Oryctolagus cuniculus: one gene and its partners. The protein of the gene in region 2 interacts with the protein of the main gene of each other region in a pairwise test. Links are inferred from orthologs where the notes say so. Each region holds a gene or a part of one and is shown on either strand. Other genes may lie near its edges.

Region 1 (3,284 bases), on a different chromosome or scaffold from region 2:
CTGGAAGCTCATCAACTGCAGAACGGTGGCGTCCCCATCCCTGTCACCCTGGAGACAAGCCCCCTGCCAGTGGAATCCTCTGGGGGCACACCATTTCCAGGAGGCGTGGCCTGGCCTGAGGACCTGCCCAGCCACAGCGGAGGCCAGCCAGCAAGCGTCCATCTCCATTGCTCATTTTGCTGACAGAAGGTGAGGATGAGAGAGAGAGAGAGAGACAGACACCGCCCTTCCATCCAGTGGTTCATTCCCCAAATGGCTGCAACGGCCAGGGCTAGGCCAGGCCAAAGACGAGAGCCTGGAAGTCCATCCTGGTTTCCCACGTGAATGCCCGGGCCCAAGGACTGGGCCATCTCCTGCTGCTCTCCCGGGGAGCTGGACCGGAAGTGGGGCACCACCAGGGCGACCCCCGGAGCCGAGGTGTTAAACGCATCAGTACTCCAGCTGCAGGACAGGATGTGCCGAGGTCACCACGCACACGTCGCAGCATTAACGACACATCATTCAGGTTTCTTCAAGGCCGTCGTACTGCGAAACTCTTTATTTAATGCGTCTGGGAACATGTGACCGCACCCTGACACAGAAACTCAAGTGTGCTACCGCAAGACGTTCAGAACGTCTCGCGTCTCTGGCACTGCTGCAGGTGCCCCTGCCCGGGACACGAGGGCTCAGCAGCACCGGCCGCCTCTGCCCTCACTCCCCGCCCAGCACCTGAGACTGCTGGCAGAGGTGCACACGGAAGAGGGTGGAGCTCTGGCTGGGTCTTCCTCCTGCCTGGAGCTCCCCCCTCCACCACCCCTGAGCACAAAGAGGCTCCCTCCAGGAACAGGGCCCGGGGCCTGGCTGGGCCGTCACCTGGTGCTGGCCAGCCAGCTACCCACTGGAGGAGGGCGGCCGACTGGGAGACCCCTCGGGCCCTGCCCCACCACGTGGGACCCCCAGGGTGGCGGGCGTGCAGCTGGGAAGGCCTGGCCCCTGGTTCCGGGCCAGCACAGTCACCAGGGCCGCCAGACGCTCTGGGCCATTCGGGCTGCAGTGAGGCCGCCCAAGGCTGCAGGCACCAAGTGCAGCCGCTCCCCAGGCGCCCGACTCAAATCAGCCTCGGAGGCCTCCTCAAGGTCGGAGCCCAGGTCGTCCCCGGGACCTGGGGGGCTGGGCAGTGGGGACCCCGGGGACGCCCCTGCGGCCCAGCCGCCCCGCCCAGGGGCTCCCGGCGGTCCCGCCAGGGCGCCCCCCAGCAGGTCTCGGAAGCTGCTGCCCTCGCGCAGGGGCATGGACTCCAGCAGGTGGTTCAGGAGCTGGGCGGCGACGGTGGCGTCAATGGCCTGGCACGTGGACACGAAGGTGTGCACCTCGTGCATACACTGGATGTAGCCGGCGGCGAAGCGCTCGCTGGCTTCCGCCCGCAGCTGCTCGCGCTCTGCGCCCGAGAGAGGGGAGGAGAGAGCCGTGCCCGGCACGGTGAGCGGCGACTCCCCTGGCCCACGGGTCCCCCCCTCCGTGGACCCCGGGGAGGGCCCTGGGCGCCGAGCGGACGGGGGAGGTCACCCCTCCCGGGGAGGGGCGGCCCGGGCCAGCGCGCCCCGCACTCACCGCGCGCCCGGCCCCGCAGCGCTCCCTGCACGCGCCGCACGGTCAGCTCCAGCACCTCGGCGTTCTCCAGCTTGGCCTGCACCTGCGCCGTCGGGGAGCGCGTGAGGCCGGCGCGCGCCCCGCAGCCCGCCCCGCAGCCCGCCCCCGCGCCCGCCGGCCGCACCTCGGCGCCCGCCAGCAGCAGCCGCAGCTCCTGCAGGCTCTCGTTGATCCGCGCGCGCCGCTTCTTCTCCACCAGGGGCTTCCGGGCCTGCGGGAAGCGGGCCCCTGAGCCCCGGCCCCGGGCGGCCTCCCCCCGCCCGCCCGCCCGCGCCTCCGGCCCGCACCTTGCGGTCCCCACGAGCCTCCCCGCTGTCTTCGTGCTCCCGGCCCGTACGGTCCCGGCCGGGGGCCAGGGACGGGGCCATGGCCGCCCCGCCACGAGTGCGGCGAGGGCTGCGGGCGGTGGGCGCCGGCTCCTCGAGGCCCCGCGGCAGCCCTCGCCGTCGCGCGTCTTCCGGCCGCCGGCCGCCCCGCCCCTTTTATAGAGGCTCATTTGCATGTCAATGCGCCGATTGGCGGAGCGGGCGCGGCGCTGCGGGCCGCGAGGCGCGCCGCAGCCAATGGGAGCGGCGCGCTTTGTGCGGTCCCGCGGCCCGGGCGGCGAGCAGCTGGCAGGGCGGGGCCCCTCGCGCAGCGCCGTCGCGACCCCCGCGGGGGCGGCCCCCAGGACCGCGGCCCCGGCCGCGCTGGTCGCTTCCTTCGCCGCGTTAGGGCGCGGGTCTGCGTGCGTGCGTGCGGGGACTCCTCCGTGGTCCGCCTGGCTCTCTCCTCCGGACCGGGAGGGGACGTCGCATCCGGCCAGGGTGCCTCTGCGCTCCGGGGAGGTGGGGCAGCCTCATCCCGACACCAGGCTCGCCCCGCAACGCCCACCCTCGGTTGGCCCCAGCATCCTGGTGGGGCGGGGTCCGCCAGCGCTGTCGCCTGCCTGTTCCTCCTCGCGCTCCCCTTGCCCCGCCACCCGCTCTGAGCGCTCCCACCCTCGGTGGTCCCCTCGCCCCCAGTTCCCCGTAGCCCTCCTTTTCCTTCGCCTCCCCCTGCTCCGACGCCTCCTTCGCTGGGCCGCACCCCCGGGCTCTCCTTCCCGGCCCCTCCCTGAGCTCCAGCCCCCCAACCCGTCATGCACCGCCCCACCTCCCCACGGTGCCCCCCGCCCCGGGCCCCCGCCCCACCTCCCTACGGTGCCCCGCGCCCCGCCGCGCCGCCGTCTGGCCCCGTAACTTGATGCCCGTGACAGTTGGCAGCTGCAGCCGCGCCAAGAGCGACAGGTGTCGGCCGCGCCTTTGTCTCCGCCCGCTTTGTGCGGCCGGCAGGCGCTTGCTCGGGGCGGCCAGACGCCCGCCACCCCCCCACCGCGGCCGCCCATCTGCCGGCCCTGCCGAGCCCAGCTCCTGCTCCACCGCCCGGCTGCCTGCGCCGCCCCGCAGAGCCGGAACGCCCCCCTTCCGCCCCCAGCCGCAGGCCTGCCACGCACCACTTGCCCTGTGCAGGGTGCTGAGCCCTCCAGGCTGCCGGTGCCAGACCACGGACCCTCTGTCCACATTCCTGCACCTGCAGAGCAGAGCCGGACCCCGCGGAGGTGCTGGGTGCTAGGGAATGGGAGGGGGTGTGTGCCCGGGGTGGGGGGCACGGCTGTGCCCAGGGCCTCTCCCAGG
Region 2 (3,500 bases):
GCACCAGTGCCACTCCAGGACTCCGTCCAGGCCTTGGCAAGCCTCCAGCCATGGAGCCCCTTGTCAACCAAGCGGGTAGAGCGTTGCCTCTTCTTATGCTGGGTTTAGTTTCTCCCTCTCCTGGCTTGGTTTCGTTGTTGTCTGTTAATCTCTGGAGGCCGTGTCCCCACAAATAGAAAAGGCACTTAGGGCCACCTTCATTCCCATGTCTGAAAATGGTAAGAAATGCTCGTCCTTGGTCTTGTGCAGAGGCACCCTGGTTGGTCTCTGGTGGTTTGCTCTCAGATTTCCTTTGTCTTCCAAGAAGTCCAAATTGGAGAGACATCAGTAACGTTTCTGATAATTATTCCGAACAGAAGCTCCTTACCAAGCTCTCATTAAATGTCTCACTTTGCTGATAGTAACTACAACAGCCAGTGTGTCTGGCCCATGTGTATTCCTGCCGATGGCACTGGCTGCTTTTGCATTTGGTGTATCCTGCAGAGACTCCTGGGTCTCTCCTGTCTTAGAAGCAGAGAGGGCTTTGCTAAGACTTGTAGCCCATGAATAAACCTGTCACTTTGAACTCCATCTTCCTCACTGGGAAAGGAAGAAAGCAACAGGCTGGCCCAAAGGAAAACAGGCACCAGGATATGCCTCCTAAACCCTGCTTTGGTTTACATAAATGCAGGATTTGGTTTTCAATTGGAATTGGTACCAGGGAATGGAAAGTTCGGACTGAAGGAGAAATCTTGGATTTTATCGAGAAAATCTTCTTTTGAGATTAAGTCAGGTAAACACTTAGTGCCTGTGGCTTGGTTTGCCCTCTGTAAATTGGGTGCAATAATGCTGCTTAATTCCCCTGGTTCCTCACTGGGTCCACATACACCAATGAGAAAATGTGTGGGGTGTGCATCCTGTCCACGGGTGTCTTGTCTTTGCTGGAGATGAATTCGACCCTGGGGAAAATGGACCCAGTGTATAAATTGAAGGTGATTTCCCCCTCTCAGAGGCCATTCCTCTTGCTCCTTTTCCCTAATGAATGGCACTGACAAATGACACTGGAATCTCAGGGCAGGATCTACCACAGCAGGTCCCTTGAGTCACACGTGGCTTTTGTTTCCTTTCAGCAGCCGGTTTGAGGACGCCCCTGGCGGTGCCTGGCCCGTACCCTGCTCCCTTCGGGATGGTGCCCCATGCCGGCATGAACGGCGAGCTGACCAGCCCCGGGGCAGCTTACGCCAGTTTACACAACATGTCTCCACAGATGAGTGCTGCAGCCGCCGCGGCCGCTGTGGTGGCCTACGGGCGCTCCCCCATGGTAGGCTGCTGTGGGGTGCCATGGGTGGGGTGGACCAGCTGTTTGCTTCCCTGAGCGTGCCCAGGCCCAGGCTGCACACATGCTCCATGGGCAGGTGCCGTGGCACCACACACCTTAAGAACAAAGCCACCCAGTGTTGCAGCCTCACATCTGGGCTGTCCCCTCGTCAAGCCGATATCTCATGCTGCTTCGTTGAGTTGGGCCCAAACGCCTTTTGTTTTTCTGTTTTTGTGGATGAAAAAACAGCCGTGTTTAGCTCCTTCAGTAGTTTGAGGGACACCTGGTTTTCTCCCACCAAAGCTGGTTTTTTATTCAAAGGCGATGAAATGACTCAAGTGGCTCACAGAAGCCTTTTACATTTTTTGTCTTGAGCTCTTTTTTTTCTTTCTCTCCTCATTTTAAACCTTAGGAGAAAATATTTGAGAAGCCACAGCTTTCTCTTCTCATGCCTGTATTGTATTATACTTTAAACTCCGTAAAGTGGCTTACATTTGAGAAGTGCTCTCTGGACAACAGATGGAAAGACAGACAGACTGTGAAACCACAGGGGGCCGGAGGGGTGGGCCTTCCCTTGTCTTCCTTCTGCCACAGTGCACCTGGCCCACTTTTTGACCAAGAAGTTACAAAACCGCATTTGAAGACTAAAATTGTGTAACCATTGATTGCATCAGGTAAAGAGACTGTGTTATCACCCACAGTCCTGTTTCTCTTGACTATTTGAACTGTGTTGCAGATTATTCTCTCCTTTTGCTTCTTCAAACAGCATTACCACTGATAGTTTAAGATCCTATTAAAGTTCATTGTCTTTCCCTTGTGTTGTACTTATGGGAAAGACTATGCACTGCAGGGTAGAGAAGTCAGTAAGATGGGCTTGAGGACCCACATACTGTCAGGAAGGTGCACAAAACGGGAATCCAGAAGAAAAAGGAGAGGGTGGGGATCTGTGTATGAGTCCTTGAGCACTGGTTTAGATCAGGATGTTTGTCCTGGAGACATATGGAGGCTTTTAAAAAACGTATTTAAAAAACAGGTGTTGATAGTGATAAATGCAATACTTGTACTTTGTAATGGGTCACAGTGCAATGTTTTAAAACACACAGGGTGAACCAAACCAAGCAACTAGACTTTCCATTTCCTTCACCAGCTGTCTGTCTTCCAATTCTTGTACAGTATGTGACGCATTACTGTGAACTACTGTCACACCACTAGGCTGAGGACTAATATGACATGCTATTTCCATCTGGCTGTGTTTCAGCACCCAGTATTTAAGACATTTTTAATGATCAGAACTAGGGGAAGCTACTGGCACTTAGGAGGTCGAGACCTCCGATACTGGTAGACATTCTTCAATGTTCATTACGTCAAGATAGCCTCAGGAGAGAAAAAAACAGGCTGGTCCTGAGTATCTGTGGTGCCATACTTGAGGAATCACTTGGACTTTTTTTCTTTTTTTTTGAAAGGCAGAGGGAGAGATAGAAAGATCTTCTATCTGCTGGCTCACTCCTCAAATGGCTGAAACGGCTGGGGCTTGGCCAGAGTGAGGCCAGGAACCTAGAATTCCAACTGGGTCTCCCATGTGGGTGACAGGGACTGAAGCACTCGGGTCATCCTCTGCTGTCTTCCCAGGATGTTAGCAGGGAGCTGGATCCAGAGGGAGCAGCCGGGACTCCAGCTGGCACTGTGATGTGCGATGCCGGTGTCTCAGTTGGCAGCTTGACTGACCGCAGCCTGAGCTGGCCCCTAGACCACATATTGTTCTCTGAACTTACTTAGGCAAAGCAAAACATCTTCAGCCTGGCGTGGGGAGCTGGTTCTCAGCACACACATAGATCACACACTTCTTTGCCTCCCCCAGAAGATGTGTATCTTGTAGTATTTAGGGCTGTTTATGTTACTTCTGGTGGTTTTTTTTTTTTTTTTTTTTTTAACGCTAGGACACATTGCCGTTCTGGTTTATATTTCCGGTGTATGAGTTTCTAATGACAAGCCTTTATTGATGTTCCCAGAATGCATGCCCTGCACAGACCGAGTCAGACCTGCCTTGTTTTTGTTTCCAGGTTGGCTTTGATCCGCCCCCTCACATGAGAGTCCCCACCATCCCTCCAAACCTGGCGGGAATCCCCGGGGGAAAACCGTAAGTACCTCTGGGCGTGACTTGTCGATGGTTTCAAAGGCAGTGTCTCAGTCGTGGGGGTTGGCA
Region 3 (4,203 bases), on a different chromosome or scaffold from region 2:
GCTGGCGCAGGACAGGCGACCAGGCTGAGCCCAAGTGCCCAGGGAAGACAATCCAGGCGTTTGGGTTGCTGGAGTTTCTTACAGAGCAGCCCCCCGGAATGCTGGGAGGACGGACAGAGACCCTCCGGAAGTCACTTTTGATTCCTGGACTCCAGTCTGTCCTCCCCCGCCGCCCTGTTTGTTTTAGTTACGAAACGTTGCGAGCACCTCGGTAGTGGCTGAAAAGTAACCTTGAAAGGCGCGGGCCTGAATGTCAGAGACAAATCATAGCCTCCCAACCGTCGGCTGCAGCCAGCGGGGCTGCGCCCGGCTGTCCCCACTGTGGGCGGCTGGCGGCTGAGCCCGGAGGAGGCGCGGGCCGGGGCTGCGGCCGCCGGACCATGCGCGCCCCGTGCGCCTTCCGCAGCCACCGCGGGGCTCGGCTGTGACGGTCCCGGGAGGGGCCTCCCGGAGCAGCGGCGGCAGAGTTCGAGGTGTGTACACAGGTTTTCTGAATACGACGGCGCTTTGCCCGCTGCTTGCTTTCAGCACTGAAGAACCCCGGGAAAAATAAATCCGGCTTGAATCCGGCTCTGCGGGGCGCGGCGGCCGGACGCGTGTCCTGGACACAGGCGCCGTGAGCCTGGCGCTCTGGGACGGGGCGGGGGTCCTGGGCCGGAGCCGCTCCCGAGGTTGGCCTCTTTGCGGGTCCCTCTTCCCACCGCGAGGTGGGGGTGTGTGTGGGTTGGGGGGGGGGACACCGTCCGGAGCCGGGAGGGCAGGAGGCTGGCTGGATCCGGGTGCCGGCCAGCCGGCCGGCTTGCCTGACACCCCCCTCGCCCCACGCTCGCTCTCTCCGAGTGCGGGGCGCGGAGGGGCAGGTGCGGGGCGCGCGGGCCGAGGCTCCCTCTCACCTAGGTGTGAGCTGATTATTCAAATGGGCTGCCCCGGGTCTGGGGATTGGAGGCCCGCGCCAGCGCGCCGCGCTATATCACCAGCCGCCCACGTCACTGCGGCACTTGTCCGCTCCGCGGTCCGCACCTCCTCCTCCTCCTCCTCCTCTTCCTCCTCTTCCCCCCTCCCCCACCCACCCCTGCGCTGCGCGCTTCCCGCCGCCTCGGGGCAGCTCGGCACTGCCAGCATCAGCCGCCACCCGGCAGCCCGAGAGCGGGGCGCGGGCGGCGGGCGCTCCCGACAGCCGGGCCCCGGCCTGGGCCTCCTGCGCTCCTCCGCCCCCTCCTCCCGCCCACTTCCAGCCACCGCCTCCGGCCGGCCGGCGCGAGAGGGAGTGGAGCCGAGAGCGAGCGAGCGAGCGCGAGGAGGGCGGAGGGAGGGAGGGGACGGTGCCTCGGCTGACTTTTTTTTTTTTTTTTTTAAAGAGGGTGGGGGTGGGGGGTGATCGCCGGTCGTTTGTTGTGGCTGTTAAATTTTAAACTGCCATGCACTCGGCTTCCAGTATGCTGGGAGCTGTGAAGATGGAAGGGCACGAGCCGTCCGACTGGAGTAGCTACTACGCCGAACCCGAGGTAAGCGCTCGCCTCGCCCGGGGGAGAGTGGGGCGGCGGGCGGCGCTCGCCCCGCGCCCGCCTCGGGACCGCTCCCCTCGCGGGCTCCCGCCCCCCCACCCCAGCCTTTCCGGGCGGCCGCCTTTACCTCCCTCCTTCGACTCAAATGGGTCTCTTTTTTATACGACACACTGTTAGCCTTGAGATAATATTAACTTTGTGATCAAATATTGACTTGCGGCGCCTCCAAATCCTCTTCGTGGCCGAGCCACGCACTCTCCTAACACAGTTCTGTTTGGCAGCGCGCGGCTGGGGAGGGGTGGGGAGCTGAAGAGGGGAAGGTGGTGGGCAGGAGCTGGGGGGTGAGGTGGAGGCAGCGGCAGAGCAGCGGGCGAAGGAGGCGAAAGAAAAGTTTGCGACTGCCGAGCCCGGCCGCGGGGAGTTTGTGGTGTCCCCAGCGCGCGCGGCTCCTGCGCTGTTCCTCGGGGCGATGTCCCGCTCTGCGTCCGGGCTAGGCGCTGGCTCGTGTTTCAGCTCCCCAGGGGCTGGGGAGGGGGTCGGGGAGGAGCGCCCGATGGAGGAGACCCTGGGTCAGTCTCCGCCTGGTGTCCCAAAGGTGGCTTGCCGGGGCAGGATGTGTCGTCCGGAGACCCTCAGCCGGGGCGCCGGCTCAGCATGCTGGCAGGAGAGTTTAGAAGGGGACTGCGGGCAGGGGAGGTGCATCCAGAGTGCTCGGCTTTGGGGTGCTCCGGGGATCCCCGTACGCTAGGCGCAGACAGGCTAGGAAGCTTCAGTTTCGTGCCCAGAGCAACAGCTCACCGGGCATCTCCCCAAAAAGCGATCAGAGCTCGCTCGGGGTAAAAAGGCCTCGATGTCCAAATACAGGCGTACCCCCCCAGCAGGGAAGGCCTCCCCCGGAGGAGGCGCGGGACCCGGGCCGGCTAGGGCGGCGGGGCTCGGGGAGGTGCGGGCACCCCACAGCCGCGGTGCTAACTCTGTCGCCCCCTTCTCCCTCCGCGGGCTCTGTTTGCAGGGTTACTCCTCGGTGAGCAACATGAACGCCGGCTTGGGCATGAACGGCATGAACACGTACATGAGCATGTCGGCGGCCGCCATGGGCAGCGGCTCCGGCAACATGGGTGCGGGCTCTATGAACATGTCGTCGTACGTGGGCGCGGGCATGAGCCCGTCCCTGGCGGGCATGTCCCCCGGCGCGGGCGCCATGGCGGGCATGGGCGGCTCGGCCGGGGCCGCGGGCGTGGCGGGCATGGGGCCGCACCTGAGCCCCAGCCTGAGCCCGCTCGGGGGCCAGGCGGCGGGCGCCATGGGCGGCCTGGGCCCGTACGCCAACATGAACTCCATGAGCCCCATGTATGGGCAGGCGGGCCTGAGCCGCGCGCGCGACCCCAAGACCTACCGGCGCAGCTACACGCACGCCAAGCCACCCTACTCGTACATCTCGCTCATCACCATGGCCATCCAGCAGAGCCCCAACAAGATGCTGACGCTGAGCGAGATCTATCAATGGATCATGGACCTCTTCCCCTTCTACCGGCAGAACCAGCAGCGCTGGCAAAACTCCATCCGCCACTCGCTCTCCTTCAACGACTGCTTCCTCAAGGTGCCCCGCTCGCCGGATAAGCCCGGCAAGGGCTCTTTCTGGACCCTGCACCCGGACTCGGGCAACATGTTCGAGAACGGCTGCTACCTGCGCCGCCAGAAGCGCTTCAAGTGCGAGAAGCAGCTGGCGCTCAAGGAGGCCGGAGCCCCTGGCGCTGGGGCCGGCGGCAAGAAGGCGGCGGCGGTGGGCGCGCAAGCCTCACAGGCTCAGCTCGGGGAGGTGGCCGGGCCAGCCCCGGACACCCCAGCGGGCACCGAGTCGCCTCACTCGAGCGCCTCGCCGTGCCAGGAGCACAAGCGCGTGGCGCTGGGGGAGCTGAAGGGGTCGGCGGCCGGGGCGGCGCTGAGTCCCCCGGAGCCGGCACCCTCGCCCGGGCAGCAGCAGCAGCAGCAGGCGGCCGCGGCCCACCTGTTGGGCCCGCCCCACCACCCGGGCCTGCCCCCCGAGGCTCACCTCAAGCCGGAGCACCACTACGCCTTCAACCACCCCTTCTCCATCAACAATCTCATGTCTTCGGAGCAACAGCACCACCACAGCCACCACAGCCACCACCAGTCCCACAAAATGGACCTCAAGGCCTATGAACAGGTGATGCACTATCCCGGCTACGGGTCGCCCATGCCCGGCAGCTTGGCCATGGGGCCCGTTACGAACAAAGCGGGCCTGGACGCCTCGCCCCTCGCCGCAGAGACCTCCTACTACCAGGGGGTGTATTCTCGGCCCATCATGAACTCTTCTTAAAGAAGGTGGCTTCAGGCCCGACTGGCTCAGACAAGCCTGGGACACAGACCAGAGAGAGAGAGAGAGAGAGAGAAAGAGGAGGAAGTGGCTGTGCAGACTTTAGCAGGGGGGCTTGGAGAGATGCAAGGGTGGAGAGATCCGTGACATCCCCCCCCCCAAGGCAAGCCCTTCTCTCCTGGAAAGATCACATTGAAACCTGTCGTTCTATATAGCGAGGGAAAGAGGAAGAAATATAAATTCAGAAAAAGAAAGAAAGAAAGAGAAAAGAAACAAAGGAAGAAGATAAAAGAAAGCCTCCGGTTTCACTGCTGTGTAGACTCCTGGTTTTGGAAGCACCTGCCAGTTCTGACCTTTTGT

What was found. The genes of interacting proteins can lie anywhere in the genome.
Region 1: the proteins of TLE1 (region 2) and HES6 interact in binary tests that used the Homo sapiens proteins (3 or more experiments, as listed by UniProt). The link is inferred for Oryctolagus cuniculus from reciprocal best matches to the Homo sapiens genes TLE1 and HES6.
Region 3: the proteins of TLE1 (region 2) and FOXA2 interact in a two-hybrid assay, tested with the Homo sapiens proteins (2 studies listed by BioGRID and IntAct). The link is inferred for Oryctolagus cuniculus from reciprocal best matches to the Homo sapiens genes TLE1 and FOXA2.

What each region holds. Positions count from the first base shown.
Region 1 is NC_091434.1:2,165,875-2,169,158, reverse strand, and holds HES6 (transcription cofactor HES-6), read right to left. Parts: upstream 2,109-3,284; 5' UTR 1,998-2,108; coding exon 1,917-1,997; intron 1,841-1,916; coding exon 1,754-1,840; intron 1,673-1,753; coding exon 1,591-1,672; intron 1,418-1,590; coding exon 993-1,417; 3' UTR 501-992; downstream 1-500. UniProt on the Homo sapiens protein: Does not bind DNA itself but suppresses both HES1-mediated N box-dependent transcriptional repression and binding of HES1 to E box sequences.
Region 2 is NC_091432.1:148,610,649-148,614,148, forward strand, and holds part of TLE1 (transducin-like enhancer protein 1), read left to right. Parts: coding exon 1-75; intron 76-670; coding exon 671-772; intron 773-1,109; coding exon 1,110-1,300; intron 1,301-3,357; coding exon 3,358-3,434; intron 3,435-3,500. UniProt on the Homo sapiens protein: Transcriptional corepressor that binds to a number of transcription factors. Inhibits NF-kappa-B-regulated gene expression. Inhibits the transcriptional activation mediated by FOXA2, and by CTNNB1 and TCF family members in Wnt signaling.
Region 3 is NC_091442.1:46,966,096-46,970,298, reverse strand, and holds the start of FOXA2 (hepatocyte nuclear factor 3-beta), read left to right. Parts: upstream 1-1,403; 5' UTR 1,404-1,418; coding exon 1,419-1,505; intron 1,506-2,517; coding exon 2,518-3,846; 3' UTR 3,847-4,203. UniProt on the Homo sapiens protein: Transcription factor that is involved in embryonic development, establishment of tissue-specific gene expression and regulation of gene expression in differentiated tissues.